2 linked regions of the Oreochromis niloticus genome follow. The protein of the gene in region 1 interacts with the protein of each later gene in a biochemical or structural test. Links are inferred from orthologs where the notes say so. Each region holds a gene or a part of one and is shown on either strand. Other genes may lie near its edges.

What was found. The genes of interacting proteins can lie anywhere in the genome.
Region 2: the proteins of f5 (region 1) and pros1 form a complex in vitro, tested with the Homo sapiens proteins (2 studies listed by BioGRID). The link is inferred for Oreochromis niloticus from reciprocal best matches to the Homo sapiens genes F5 and PROS1.

Annotation. Positions count from the first base shown.
Region 1 is NC_031987.2:31,365,130-31,372,951, forward strand, and holds the start of f5 (coagulation factor V), read left to right. Parts: upstream 1-4,645; 5' UTR 4,646-4,762; intron 4,763-5,189; exon of another isoform or gene 5,190-5,250; 5' UTR 5,251-5,286; coding exon 5,287-5,447; intron 5,448-5,693; coding exon 5,694-5,776; intron 5,777-6,516; coding exon 6,517-6,639; intron 6,640-7,822. Other genes in the region: UDP-sugar transporter protein SLC35A5, read right to left, coding at 112-300, 437-504, 729-862, 2,113-2,211, 2,368-2,494. UniProt on the Homo sapiens protein: Central regulator of hemostasis. It serves as a critical cofactor for the prothrombinase activity of factor Xa that results in the activation of prothrombin to thrombin.
Region 2 is NC_031965.2:16,493,103-16,500,984, forward strand, and holds the start of pros1 (vitamin K-dependent protein S), read right to left. Parts: upstream 3,219-7,882; 5' UTR 2,958-3,218; coding exon 2,879-2,957; intron 2,351-2,878; coding exon 2,193-2,350; intron 1,327-2,192; coding exon 1,302-1,326; intron 1,204-1,301; coding exon 1,120-1,203; intron 1,038-1,119; coding exon 915-1,037; intron 770-914; coding exon 644-769; intron 1-643. Other genes in the region: rasa3 (ras GTPase-activating protein 3), read right to left, coding at 6,795-6,870, 7,001-7,184, 7,279-7,382, 7,473-7,681, 7,811-7,882. UniProt on the Homo sapiens protein: Anticoagulant plasma protein; it is a cofactor to activated protein C in the degradation of coagulation factors Va and VIIIa. It helps to prevent coagulation and stimulating fibrinolysis.

The DNA.
Region 1 (7,822 bases):
GCTGCTCATCTTGTTCTGGAAAATTGTTCTGCTTCAAAAACATTTTAAATCTCCGAAGATCTACTTCCTAGTTAAGTAAAGGTTAAATAATCCTGCATGCTTCACGTTTACCTGCTGTTCTTCATCTCCTCCAGAAGCTGGGTGTAGAGTAGGCAAGAGTTGGAGGGGCTAGAAAGTGGGTTTGAGTGAAGACTGGGAACAGCTATTGAGTTTTGCTTGCCTCCTGATCCTGTTGTCAAGGAAACGATGGACAGGAAGAGAATAACCAACGCTGCCCACTGAACCCAAGACAGGCGCCTCCTGTAGGAAAAGGCCAAGTAAAAAAACAAAAAACAAATGACGCTTAATCTATTAGCTTATGATATCACCTCTCATTCTACAATCAAACACACACAACATATTTCTGAAGAACAGTTGAGTTAAAAGAGAAACTTACTTCAAAACAATTCTAAAGAGCACAGCTGTGGTCAGGATGACAAAGTTGGAGAACAACACTGCCATAGCCTGGGAACAAAACAGAACAGCAGCAGCTCAGCACATTTAAAGCATCAAATATTCGTGCAGGACATTTTGTTAATGCCAGTCTGATATGAAAAGCTCAAATCTACAAACTGGAAAATGAGATTTGGATGTTAACAAAGGGTTAAAAAATTTGCAGTCCAGGCAACCAAATTTCCCTCTAGCAGCTATCATTTAGCAAACATCTTAAATATCTTATCTGTACTAACGGGCTGCAGGTAGCTCATAACATAGAAGATGATGAGGTTGTCAAGAAAGTAAAGGAAAGCAGGGACGGCCCACTTCAGGGAGCTGAGGAAGGAAGAGCTGGAGGCACAACCCAAATCTCTGCATGATCGGCCCTCTGTAGTAACAGAAAGAAAGAGTCAACGAACATCCTTCACTCATGGAACACAGAATGAGGCCGGATGAACTTATGAACACAAATATTAGTTGTAAGACTTGTCGTGGTTTTTGTCATATTCGAGATATGATAAATACTAATACCCAGGTTATCGATCCCTTCCATTTTGTAATGGTTAATTCAACATTCCTGTTGCCACTGACCTTTAATTGGAGAGTTGACCTTATTTTGACTGGCCATCATTCACTAACCTGTCTCCTATAGACTTCATTAGTTTAGATTTTTAGTGCCTTCTATGATCTAAGCCAGCAGGTATATTGAAATCTAAAAATAATTTCAACAGGCAGCCACACCTATGTATGATAAACTAATAGGTAAGGCCCCAAAATTTTGGAGACACAGGACTTTATAATAAATAATACATAATTAATCATTCATTAATAATGGTCCTAAAAACAGATCAGCCATATTTAACTGGTATGTTTTTCTTTATTTTCATAGGCAAACTTGTAGAACTTGTAATCATACTTAATCACACACAACACTATCTTAGTTTCTTTTTAACTTCTTCCACATTCAAGCAATTTGCCCAGATATCTGAAACTGAGGGTGTTTGTGCTTGTTTACTCTGGTCCTAATCACTTGATGAGTTTGTAAACTTTTAGCTTTTCCCTGTGATTGGGTTTGTTTCCACACAGAGAAGAATTCAAGTGAACTCCATGCAAACCAAACTGCGTCACTACAAACCATGTGACAATGTGCAGTTTGCTCAGCAGCCAGATGTGTCAGGACGGGAGCAACAAAAGTAAACGCAGGAAGAAGGTGCTGTGTTCTGGGCTATTTGAGAACCCAGAGAATTTACATTTATTTCATGGCTAGCTGCTAGCTCGTACAGACCTTTGCACATCTATAGTACCTTTCGATGCTGAGATTACAAAGCATACATTGCAATGGGATGGGGGGTTTTTTATAGCTCAAACTACACCTTCACAACATAAACGAAGTGCTCCGGAGTTCATTTGGAACTGTACCGAGACCACCTCCTCCAAAGGGTCTCGGTGCTGTTCTTTTCATCCGCTCCTGAGTGCAGTCACACCTGCACAAACGAACCGCACCAAGGGGGGAAAACGAACTAGAGTTTGATTTAAACAGACAAAACACTGCAGGTGTGAAAACACCTCGAGATGTGATATGAAACCAGAACATAAGCTGATCCCAACCAGGACATACACGCAGACATCAATGTTTACCTCGGACTATGACCCTGACTGACATGACCAGACAGAAGAGCAGTTTAAGAGCCTCGGCAAGCAGATTTACAGATGCTGGGAGGAAGTCGTACTTGTTTTCTGCAAACAGAACAAAAAGTGAAGACACGTGCTAAGCAAGCTGCCAACACATCACTGTAATGCACGCCAGAAAAATTAACACTGTTTTTTAAATCTTTTTATCCAGCTGTGAAAAAAAAAAAAAAGTTGTGCATGTGTTTACTGTCAGGTAATCACCAGCATTGGCAGACATTTTCAGAAGTAGGATGCGGCTGGTCCCCAGGGTTACAAAGCCTAGCCCGAGAGCAAGAGTGTAGGCTGATGAGCGGGAGCACAGCCTGGGGCACAAGGGGCAGCACGCCATGGCTGCGACTGGAAATGGATGCAGCCAAACCTGCTGGAATACATACAAACATGCACGCACACATGTTTATCAAACTGACCCTTTACATTATGATTATTATACTGCCAAAGAATTTTTAAAACTGTTGTGTGTGTCTCTGAAAAGACTAAGATAAAGATTTTAAAAAGACAACATTGACAGGATGTAAGTGTAAACTAAAACTTGCAGAAATAATGATTAAATACGAGACAGTAAAAACAACACTGCAGGTTAATTTGGTTAAAAGAATATCACTCTGATTATGCTGTGTGAGCTGTTTAGAGATATGTGATGGCTTTTCCTTTAATGGCTCATCTGTGAAACAGCTTATGAGGAGAAACAACGCAGTATAATGCAATACAAAGATGACCGTGTCATTGAGACTAAATACCCCCTTATCTTATATTTCAATATTCGGTAAGATGACCTTTATTTTTCAAGAAACCTTCAACTGTATCAGGCAAGCTTTCAGGTCAATTCTTTAAGTAATCCAAGAGTTTTATGTGGATGTTGGTTGTTTTTGTTTATTCTCTGTCAAACTATGACTCAATAAGCACTGTTGCAACAGGGCTCACATGGATTTTCAGTCTGGTTATTGTGTCATTTGGCATACCATAACATTTTCTTCCAATTTCCCTTCCTTAAGAGTCATTAAGGAAGCCACCATTTCTGATGCAGCTTCAGTAAGCAGTATATGGATCAACTGCAACCCCAGATGCATCTCTCGGGTCCTGTGTCAGGTCTTTGCTGCATTTTTTCACCCTGATTCTAAAAAACGTGACTTTGAGATACTGTTAATCAGCTGTGGGCAGGTTTTTAAGCCTGCCACTTCTTCTTTTGTCCTCCACTTGTCTACCTTCCTTAAATGCTTGTGAAGACACACTGGACACCACACTGAGATATGCCAGGTTTTCCGCTAACACCTCTTTGGTGCAAGAAATACAATTTTGTCCCTGTCAAACAGCATTATCCTGGGCATTTGTTGTATATTCAAATAAATAAATGGGCACAAAATCTGTGTTTTTGTGAGAGGCTGCAAGTAATAAAGTGGCTAGAAATACATTTTAAAATTGGCTCTTTGCTCAGTTGTTCGTTACACAACACTGAGTTGGGCACTTGAAAAATTCACAGGTCAGTGTTAAGTGGCTTATCAAACAAACAAAAATAAATAAATAAAAGTTCCTCTGAAAATAATCAGGTACAACGACTGGACTGATAATTTTTTTTTTTTTTTTAAAGCCGCCAATAGCCAAAAATGAGGGAAACCTCAATATTTTAGCACAGTACTGTATATCCACAATTTCACCAAGACAAACAAAAAAAAAAAAACCAAAAAAAAAAAAACACCACTCCCTGTTAAGTGAAATAAGTATTGGTGCTGGGGGGGTTCTGTTCACTAATTTAACAAAAAAATAATAATAATGATGATGATTACACCAGATAACTATAATAACTATTGAATGATGTTTTAAAAGTAGTCTTGCTTTAATTTTAAGCTTATTTGATACAGTACTTCGTCTCCGACTCACAAGAGGAAATACGTGTTTTTGTACTCTTCCAATCTACTGCGTTTGGAGAAAAACGCGACTTACATTACCTTGACCTTGGCGTCTGAGAACCTACACAGACCTAAATACACAGAATTTAAACACCGACACTTTGCTGAAATACGTAGTTATATTTCACTTTTACAAAGACTTACTGACTTAAAAACTAACAAAACAATCTAACGGCAAAAATAGTCGACAGTTTTTAAATCAACTTCCAGCTTTTGAGATAATTTAAACTCCATTGCCATGTCCAATAATACTCATAAAACTTAAAAATCACCCGAAAATTGTCGGCACGGTAAGTTAGACTGTTCAAACACACAAAATTCAACACACAGCTCTAAGCACAGAGGTAGCCTTGCATCACTAGCCTTTAAATCGTCACCTTTGTGCCAATAAACACCGATACAACACGCGTGTTCTTTTAAATATTCGGAAATTATTTTTTGAGGCCACTGTCCATAACATGAGAAAACAGGGCAATGTTATAAATACCTGCCTGCTAGTCTTCTTTAGTACAAAACATAACCGAGGGATTCCATCTCGTCAACACTGGCGCTTCCTGGTTGGTCTGCGCATGCGTTAAGACACAGGTTACGACGTCATCCCGTTGTATTTATGTTCACCGGACAAGAAAATAAAGTACAATCGAGACAAGGGGAAATAAGAGACAAGAGAAAAATGATACACGAATAAAAGCGTGAGTATGAGAATAAATTTTTTTTTGTCTTTGTTTGATGTAAATGTGAGACTTTAAGTCACACCTTACTTAAAAATAATAATAAACTGGTAAACACTGACAAATAAGTGAATGTCCAGATATGAGTTTAGGCTACATTTAACAGTATTTCAACTGCGTGAAATTGGGGTAAACCAAAATGACGCGTGCCCACACCTATTACACATACGTGATTTTCTGGGACATTCTTAGGTCAGAGAAATTTACGATCAGATTTCCAACACTCATTCCCACTGAAAATTTTTAGGGATGTTTGGGAATCAGCACCCTTCGGGAAGTAACGCACATGTAGTTCCAGTTGCAAAAGGGAAAAAAAAATATGCAGAGGCGCAGTTCATTGCCCTAGGACATAATGTTTGAACTAGCAAGTGTGGGTATGTGTACGTGTGTCAGTGGCAGATAAAGCACACAGCAGACTCTCTGTCAGCTCCCACGTTCTTGACTTGTAGAAGAGAGCACACTCGCCTGGAGGACTGATCGTAAGTATGAGGCTCCGTGTCCGGGCTGGAGCTCGCTGGCTCCTACCTGTCCTGGTTCTTTTGACTGCCCACCAGGTCAAAGCAAACCAGCCTCAGCCTAAGGAGAGACATTACTACATTGCTGCTGTGGAGATAGATTGGAAATACTCTGGCAACGACACAGACGGGTAGGACAGCACTTCAAAATTTGATACAGAGTGACTGGAATTCTTTTTGGTTTGGGGTTTTTTTTGTGTCTGGTAACATTATTATTGTATTTTTAAAACTCCATTTTATTATGTAATCAGTAGTCACACCTTGTTAAATCAGTAAATTTCACATCTTAGAGTCTATGCATCATTGTGTATGTAATGTGGGGATTTTCTTATGTGTGCCCAATGAGTAATGTTTTGTGTTTTTCCACCCTGCCTTAGGTCTGGTCCCACCTATAAGAAAGTGGTCTTTCGGGAATATGAGAAAGGCTTCAGACAGGCTAAGACTCATCCATCATGGTTAGGTAAATGATGTGGTTTACATGAACACACCGTATGTCTGGTTTAAAATTTTAAGTAACACTTGCCCTGTCTGCACATTAACTAACCTGTGAGATAGAGGGGTGTATTTACCAATAACGTTCCCAGAAAGCAGTCACCATGTACATGCATGTATATTAGAGACTTAATGAATCAGTGTTGAGGAGCTTTTAAGGTGCCCCGGTGTCGCGCAGTGGGAAAAAAACACAGACAGACAGTCGCTATCAAATGCACTCTTTATATCTTCAGGACACATAAGGTTATTATTAATTTAATGTATCACTCCAAGTGCATATTAATGGATAAGCAGCTACTACTTTTGCTAATTTTTCTCTGAAAGAACTGAATTAAAAGGTGAATTCCTTCAGTTTTTACAAACACCAAAAAGACATCAGCATGGTGAGGTAGTGTTTTTTCATGTTTTTTGGACTTTCTCCCTTCCACCTCTTATGTGGTGCCAAATCATATCTTCTTAGCAGGATGGTGAAATAACAGTCACAGAATAATTCCTTTCCCAGAAAGCAAGAGGGAAAAATATAAAGCTGTATTTACAAAAAAGAAGGTTACTTTCATTTTATTGCAAATGTTTACGGTTAAGTTGCTGTGCAAATCAACAGTTAAAGAGAAAGAGTGATGAGTCAGTCTGCGTTTATCCAAGTCTGTCCCTGTGATGAACTGAAGCCTTTGAAATGACATGATTCCACATAAATAAACTTCTCTGCAGGTCTCCTTGGTCCCACACTGAGGGCAGAAGAAGGGGAGACGATTGTTGTAACTTTCAGAAACATGGCCACCAGCCCATATAGCATCAGCCCACACGGTGTGGCTTATGGGAAACAGTCTGAGGGTGAGTGCGTATTAACCCAGCTGCTAACAGATGAATGCAAAAGATGCTGTTATCCTTAAAACAACAGTACCACTACTCCATAACATAGTCTGCCTCTTAATGTTTCTGTGAGTGCTTGTGATGTTTCTCATTGTAATAATTACACAACATTAGCCAATACAACAAACAAATCTGTTTGTCTTCTTCTAAAATATTAACCAGGCAGGCAGATTATCAAAGCAGACAGTTCTGAAGTCCAACAGGAAGAACTGCTAAGCCTTAGGAAATCCCTCTCTGAGACTTACGGGAATTAAAGTGAACTTAGGAAATTGAGGCAAAGTGTTCCTTAATTTGCTCTTAATACAAAAGTCAGAGTACACAGGAAACACAAAAATTAAAGAACACCATGCAGGAGAGTCTGCATTATTTTTGGAAACTGTTCGAAGCTGGTTATAAAAAAAGCTCAAAATCTTCTCAGACTTCCACACACCAGCGTTATAGTTTTGTATCTTCTAATTAGTTTTCAAGTTTCAGTTAGTGTCCACAGTTAAGTTTAGCCTGTGTTTTAAAGTGTTTAGTTTTAGCTTAGTTTTTATTAGTTTCACTGTTAGTTTTAGCCTTTATTGTTCATTATTGTATGGAGGGCATATATCAGAGGCAAAATCAGTACACTTATTACAATAAGGTGTCATGTTTCGCTGTGTGGCAGGCAGGATGTAGGACCCAAATGCAGGACTCATGGACAACGAAAGAGCGAACTAAAGGAGGCAGCTTTATTCAGGGTGTAAAAACTAACATTAAGTACAAAACTAAACTAGAAACTGGAAACTAGAAACTTCAACTAGAACACAAGAAAACGAACCAGGAAGAGTAAACTCGGAAACAGCTAGCAACACGGAGGAAAACACACAGCATTGTGAGGGTACAATGCAACAACAAGCAGGGGAAGACTGAGGAGTAAAATACACACGTAGGAAACGAGAGGATAGGGAAAAAGGTGGAAACACAGCTGGGACTAATCAGATGTAAAAGCTCAGAACACTGAACACAAGACAGGGACTATCAAAATAAAACAGAAAACACATGACAGGCACAAAGGCAAGGACTTGATACTGAACAGAGGGAACACGGAGCACAGGGACAGGAGCGACATGAGACACGACTGACTGGGGAACAAGAAAATACACATGAAGACAGAACAAAA
Region 2 (7,882 bases), on another chromosome or scaffold:
AGATTGATTTTAATAAAATATCTCGAATCCCTAAATAATAGGTTATAATAACTGATTTCTACTGACAGGATGTGTTATCTAACAGTCCATCAAAAAATAAATAAATAAATAAAGAGGGCAAATTTATCAGTCTGACTCAGTACATGTTTGTGAAGACTTTGAACTCAACATGCAGTGGTCAGCCTGAAAGACAAACAGTGACTGGTTTGCCCACACACAGCAAAACAAGATGCAGAGAAATCAGGCAACGATAAGCACGGACAGTTTAAGCATGTTTTTACAGCTCTGAGCTACGAGCCTGCTGGTGTGTTTACAACAATCAGGATGAACCATCTTTTCAGATGTTAAAAGCTTTCCCCTTCTCTTACATAAGGAGTCACCTCAGGTCAGCTTTGAAAAAAACAAGTGATGCGGCCCCAGAGGGCAACAGCTGGGGGAGCTGATCTTTTTTTTTTAATTTGTTTTGCAATGCATCTATATGAATAAATAAAAAAGAAAGTAATTAGAATTATATCCCGTGTGCTCAGCTGCCGTGTAAAACCGTAAAAAACAGAGCTGGCACACACGTGACACAAACAACTGTATATAAGGAAAATCAGTTAAGCCTAATTATTATTAAAATGACCATCCAGTAGAGTCTTACCCATGCAGTTGATGTTGTGGGTGAGTATGTAGCCTTCTTCACACATGCAGTGGAAGCTACCTGGGATATTCTGACATATTTGATTACATCCGGCATGAAGTTCAGGATCCGAACACTCATCGACGTCTACCCAGTCGATACGCCACACAAAAATAAGTCAGCAGCAGGTCCCATATAAATAAATAAATATAAATAAATGATCGCTGGATGTATTTTTAGTAAGATATGACGAAAAATGTTTAAAATGCCAAAAGACTAAATGAGAACTCACCTTCCTCACAGCGTGGCCCCTTCCAGCCCTGCTTGCACACACACGTGAAGGCGGCCATGCCGTCCGCGCAGCGCTCTGTACCCTCCTTGTAGCATGGAAACGGCGTGCACTGATTACTGATCTCTGGTTTTGGAAACACAGCATTTGACAGCTACAGAGAAGTGTAACAGGCATATGAAAAGCTTAGTTCGAGGTTTAAGCTCACCTTGCACACAGGTGCGAAGGTTAGAGGGGATGCCGGCATTTGAGTGCTGGTTATTTATGCCGACACGGTGCGAACCCAGACACGCTGCCGAAAAAAATTAGCGTTTATTTGAGACAGTGCAAAAATAGACAAAATAGACAGTGCAAAAATATTAAGAAATGTGACTCATTTAGCAGACTTACCAACATATTTAGGGTAAAAGTATTCCTGCAAAAAAAAGAAAAAAAAGGCTGCTGACAGTTTGGTATTTACTGATAAGGGCAGAAAGGAGAAAATGCAGCTGCATCTTTAGCTTTTACTACTTTACAGCAAGAGCCCAAACAGATGAGATGGAGACATTTAGAGACAAAGTCAGAGCGAGAGATAAGGCTGAGATGGTTTGGACATGATCAGAGAAGGTATGGTGGATATTTTGGCAAAAAAATAATGACTAGGGAGCTGCAGGGCAGAATTAAAAACACAGAGAGGATTTATGGATGTAGTGAAGGAGGGTTGATGTGACAGGGGAGGATGCTAGGGACAGGGTGAGATAGAGGTACATGATCCTCTGTGGTGCCCCCTAAAAGTAGCTGAAGATGAAGAAGCAGTAAATACTTGCAGTACAGATATTTGTTTTTTCCTACTATAACAGAGCATTTTTTCTATTTTGTACAGTATTTTATTCTATTTTGTTGGTACTTTATTCTATTGTATATAGTATCTTGTTCTTGTTGTATAGTATGTTATTCTATTTTATCTTCTCCTATTCTATTGAGTTTTTCTTAACTTTTACTGCTCTTAAACTTGTACTTTCTGCCGTGACCAAAAAATTTCCCATGTGTGGGACTAATAAAGGTTTATCTTATTTCTTATCTTAAACGACTTGGAGCTCCCTAACCACCGATTAACTGTGTTACTAATCACGTTAATTAAAGCTCTGTGCCGTCATAATGTCATTAGTAACACATGCTGGATAACAGCCAAAAATCCAATCCACTGTTACAACTTTTGCTGCTTATTTCATCTTCTTCTTCACTCCCATCTAGTCACTTCAGTTTGACCAGTTGGGCCTGGCTTTCCCTGTCAGCTCTCACCGTCTCCAGTTGGTTCTCAAAGATCTCCCTGGCCTCCTCCTTGTTGCACAGCTCCTCGATGCACTCCCTTTCCAGGTTGCCCTTCTTGCTCTCCTCAAACAGTGAGTTGGCCCTCCTGTGCCTGCTCAGGAACTGCGAGGCTGTGCTCTGGCTCAGGACTATGGGAGACACAAACACTTATGTATACACCGCATGCACGTAGCACATCTTTTAACTGTCAGCTCTGTTTTGAGTCCAACAAACCAATTGCTGGTTAACAAACACCTGTAACAACATTACAATAAAAAGAAATGACTGATGCCCGTAGGAATTAAAGCCTCCTCTGTCATGACAGCTCTCCCGAGGCTTCTGTCTAAATGGATGAACAGGGCAGCTTAATTACTTTTAGATGAATTGGCCCGAAAAGAGGTAGGGAGGGTTATTGCGAAACCGCCATTTCTCAGAAATGACCCCTAGTTGCTGTAACAAGCACTTCACGTTGTTTTCCAAGCATTGTTTCATGGTGAACAACGGAGCCATGTGACCCTCACATATGCTAAAAGGGATTAAAAAAATATTGAAGTCCTGAAACGGTTCCCAGCTGGTCTCATCCAGTCTGTGAACTGCTCTCTTCAAACTGGGACACTCTGACTAAACACTACAGTCCAGCTCAACACGTAAAACCGCAAAACCTCAAGCGTACTTACACCGATAAGCATCGACCAGCGTCACCAGTAACACGAGACAAGCCAGGGGTTCCCCAAGAGCCCGCTTCTTTCTCCACATAGTCGAGCCGTTCCTCCTGCTAGGCCACGGTTTGGCTGCGAGTAGAGACTGGCTGAGCGGCAGGTCCGTGAGGGGAAAAAACTTTATTCTTCCCGAAAGTGTTTTTCGTCGGGTGAGATGGGGGGAGCACAGGCAGCTGCCAGCGGAGCGGGACACGGAGGGGTTGTGTGTGTGTGTGTGTGGAGTGTGAGGAGAGGGGAGGCAGCTAGGGAACGCTGCACGCACACTCACGCGCTCTCTGCCGTTATTTTTTTTAACCGAGCGTGCGCGTGCGGCTCGGCTCAGGCTGAACTCATGCAGAAAATAGGTTTACTAAAGGAGGCCCGAGACACACTGTGTAGGTAAATAACCACAAAACTCTGTGCTCTAGTATCAGGAATAGTAATAATACTTTTAATTATTCTTAAAGTCCAAAATATCATTATACGCCCCCCCCACACACACAGACACGCACACAGATGCCACCACCAAAAAAAGACGAGAAAAAAATGGCGCAAATGTCTGCCCGTTGCTAAGCATCCAAGGAAAGATGGCACTGCTAAACTACTTTTAATGTTTTTTTACTTATTGTATTATTTCACTATATAGTATAGCAGCAGTTATAATAGTAATAATAATCATAATCATCATCGTGTAAACGTCGTTATGTATTTATTTTTTGTCACATTTAATTTGTGTAGATTAGAATATGTAGTAGATTAAAAAAATGTATATTAGGTTTCACATACATTACTTCATTGCCACTTACCTCACTTTATAATTTTATGTGTAACATTTAAATTATTTGTTATGGTATCGTGTGAAAGGTTCCTACTTCGTGTTTAAGGTGGGCCTTTTTTGAGTGTAATGCGCTCTGAGTGCTAATAATAATGATAATAATAACGTCTTTATCAGTATGATGCTACAAGCTTGGCATACTTAGGCAGGGCAATTCTAACAAAACAATATAAATCTGCTAATGTGAGTTTGTACAGTAGACATTACTGATATGTAATAAATGACACAGACACCAGATTTGCATTAATAATTGTTTCATTTGGTTACTCGGGAAAAAAAACACATCACATTTTCACCATTCATTCAATTGTTTTATGTACACAAATAACAGGCTTATTTTAATACTTTTAAAATATTTGTACAAAATACACTGTTCTCCCTTTTATAATATGTGTTTATCTGAAGAGGCATCTGACTGCAAAACATCAGCAGATGCGCATTGTTAATTTGTGATCACTTGACAGGCTTATCGAGGGCTTGTTAATATTATTGCATGCTGAAACACCGTTATTGCATAATTCATTCCTTTTATGGGTATCGGGGTTGGAGGAGTCATACCCACACCAACTTCGCTGGGAATTCTGGGAAGGTTTGAATGAAAGTTATAATAAATATGAGTTTCATAAACCTGAGGAGAGTTAGTAACCTGTAGGGGGAGGAAAACCTGAAAGAGGTTAAACCCAGGCTGCTCTCTTAATATTTTTACTGTTCATAAGACATCTGGGGAGAATAGATTGGCAATATCTTCTTGAAAAGAAACAGTGATTGTATATGAGAGGAAAGAAGGGATACGCTAAGTCAGGCCAAGAGTGAAGTAACAGTGTCTTCAGTATAATTACAGGCAGTGATCTGCCTTTCCTGACCTGTAACACTGTTTGATCAATTGGCAACACAACCCATCACGTCAGTCACATGTGTCCACACTGACAAAAATAAGCACACACCCACATAACAGACACAGACACACACACACCTCATCCAGCTCAGATACACAGCAAAATTTCCGTATGACAAGATAGAAAACAGAGTCAAATTGTTGAGAACCTTCCTTATTTGACCCACCCAAAAAACAAAAACATATAATTGGATTAGTTGTTCAGCTGTTTTACAAACAGTACAGTTGTTTTTTTTTTTAATATATTTATATATATATTTCAAAAATGAACTTTAGAAAAGTGATAACTGGCACTGTTTGGGATCCTGTGACCATGGGGGCGAACACCCGCGAGGCTACATAAGCACATACTTGGATTCGGAAAATACAAAAGTCGTGGTTTGTAGTCGCTTGCAGAGTCTGCTGTCTACACTTCACATGCACTGTCGGAGTGAAAGACAAAAAAATGCGGCCGCCTTTGCGAAAGCGTGGGACAACACAACACAGTTGGCTAGCAACAATAAATCCTGTACCTTCAATAGATCGTGAGGCGCTTCACAGCAGGTAGCTTTTCAGTGGAATGCATATAAATAAGAGTTCAAACGACAAGGTACGGAGGGAGTGGGAGGCTAACTCACAGAAACAAAAGAACCACATTGTTATTAGGTAACCAGCGGGGCAACACAATCAGTCACACTCTATCCATTTCACAATTACAATCTAAGACAGGTTAAAATGTTAGTTTGTGTAATAATTAGAAGTGTATCTGAAAATAAAACATCCCTGTTAATGATCTCATTTGTGATAGCTGGAGGGGGTAGACAGGCTTTTACTTATTTTCCTGCTTACACAGGAGTGAAACAGGCCTCTGAGCTAACGCCAAGCTGTGTGGTCTCAGCCTAGCGCTGGGTGTCGGGGAAAAGTGTCTTTCTGTTTCATTATTAAAGCTGCTTTTCTGACATTAATTATACTTATCCACCATAAATGGACAGTGAGTGATGAAAATTGTGTCTTATGAAATCCATACAGCTGCTCTGCTGTAATTATTAAAGCCAGTTTTGTACTGGACTACACTGTACTCAGAGTTCTCTAATATTCTGTCTCCCTTGTGTTTGTATCAGTATAACGTAGTCCACTAGACTGTACGGCTGTACCTGAAAAAGGACTTGTTCTGCCACATGCACATTTTCTGCATCTAAAGAAACTGGTTTTGAATGATGTAATTTACCCATGATTACAGCATAACCTGTGCGGGCAGGGGGGAAAAAAAATGCCAACCTGGGTACTGGTTTCATTGGGGCATGACGACCAACCAAAACAGATCAAAGCTTAAAAAACAAAACGTGGAAACCTCTTTTGAAAAGGTTTAAAAATGTGGGCTAAAATTGTACGTGGAGAGATTTTTGGTAGCTTAAATGAAGTCGCTTGGGCTGCAAATGGGCCCGATGATCCCTTTTTTCTTTTTTTTTTGTGGCTCTTCCTGAACTTGTATCCCGAAGACGCTGGGGGGAGAGGCTTGAAAGTGAAAGGTACACAGGTATAACATCACCCGCAGAGGGGATAAGCTGCAGTCCTTCCTTCTCGTCTGGAGCTTCGTCCGTCAGACGGCAAATGAAAGGTAACAATTTCAACAACATTTAAAATAACCGCACACAAATCAAAGAGGTAAAAGTCGCTTTCTGAAAAGTGTGCTGTGAGGCTTGTTCGTCCGAAGATTTGGAGGCGATTAAAGTGCGTGCTGGTCACTGTCAGAACTGTCCAGTGAAAACCTTTGTTCTCTCGTCACGTCGCGGAAAGGAGACGGTTCCCTCTTCACTCATATCCCTCCTTTCCTCCACAAGTGCTCCTCTTTTTTCTCCTCCCTCTCTCTTCTAAAAGTGAGGTCTGTTTGTCCAAATGTGGAGCGATGCACTTTGAGAAACTGCAGGTAGGTCCATATACGCGGCTCTTGGAGTTTGGCAATGAGTCGTAAAGTTGTCATTTTCTCAAAACTAGATCAGATCGGGGTGAAAGGTTGCTTTACTTCCACAAGCGTCTTAAGGAAGTTATTTTATTTGCTTATTTTAGACACGGGAAATGCTTTAAAACTCAATACCAGACACAGAGCTCAATTTCGGTGGATTTTTCTGCAGTAGAGAAAAATATGCTGGTTTTGAGCATCACAGAAACCGGATCCAGGGCTGTGGCTAGATGGAGTAGGTGGAGCTCTCAGACTGCTGGCGGATGTAGCACTGGAAACTCTTGTCTCCAATCGGATGCTCCCTGAGGACAAAGAAAAGGGAAAAAAATGTGACTGCAGTGTTCTGAACTAGCGCCTCCACTTTGTTATAGATACAATAAATGCATTCATCTATAACTTAACCTTCGAATACAACACAAGCAGTGGACGTACTGGCTGCCTATCTTTGTCTTCTTGAACTTGTCGCGTTTGTACTTGGTGTGCTGCTGTTCCAGCGTCTGCACGGCTGAAATGATCTGCTTCAGGGTTTTGTAGGTCTCCTGGGGGTCGTCTATGACGAAGGTGGAGTACTCCTCCTGCTCGGGGCCGTCATATACCGACTTACTGCCGCAGGCCTCTGCAGCGGGAAACGGAATGAGAGACGGAAATGTGAAAAAAATACATGTGGGAAGTTTGAAAAGAAAAAAAAAAACATGCGCTTGGCGTCTAACCTTGCATCTTGATCAGTTTGGTCATGTATGTGCTGAACAGGGAGTAAATTCTCTCGGTCTCTCTGTCACCATCTACATCCAGCTGGATGTTTGCCGGGAGGCCGCTGAAAAAAACGAAGCGTGCATGGAATGAGAGAGAGCGGAAACAAAGCACAGGAATGTGAAGCTGTGCAGATGTTAGCAACTTTATGTACCCGGTGCAGGGCGTACACCCGGGAGCCGTGTCTGCTGAGAGCTTGCAGCATAGCCAGTGGCCGTTGAGGTAGGCTGAAGGGTGGTAGGTGCTCAGGCGTTTGCGGTTGCACTGGCTGACTTTGGTCAGGATGTCGATCCAGTCGCGCGCCTCTACGCAGTTGTTGGCCTGGATGTAGAGCGCCCGCTCTGGCTGAATGACCTGGAACATCTGAAGGAGGAGGAGTGTGGGGAGAAAGGAGTGCAAGTTAGTTAAGAAAGTAAACACTTGTAGGAGAGATTTGGGCCCACATGCTCAAACCCTCAAATATTTCACAGGGGCTCACAGGGGGGTCCTTACATTTTTCATTTTGAAAGACTCCTCCTCCAGCCGCTCTACAGCCAGAATGTTCTCTATGGGAATGCTGCAAAG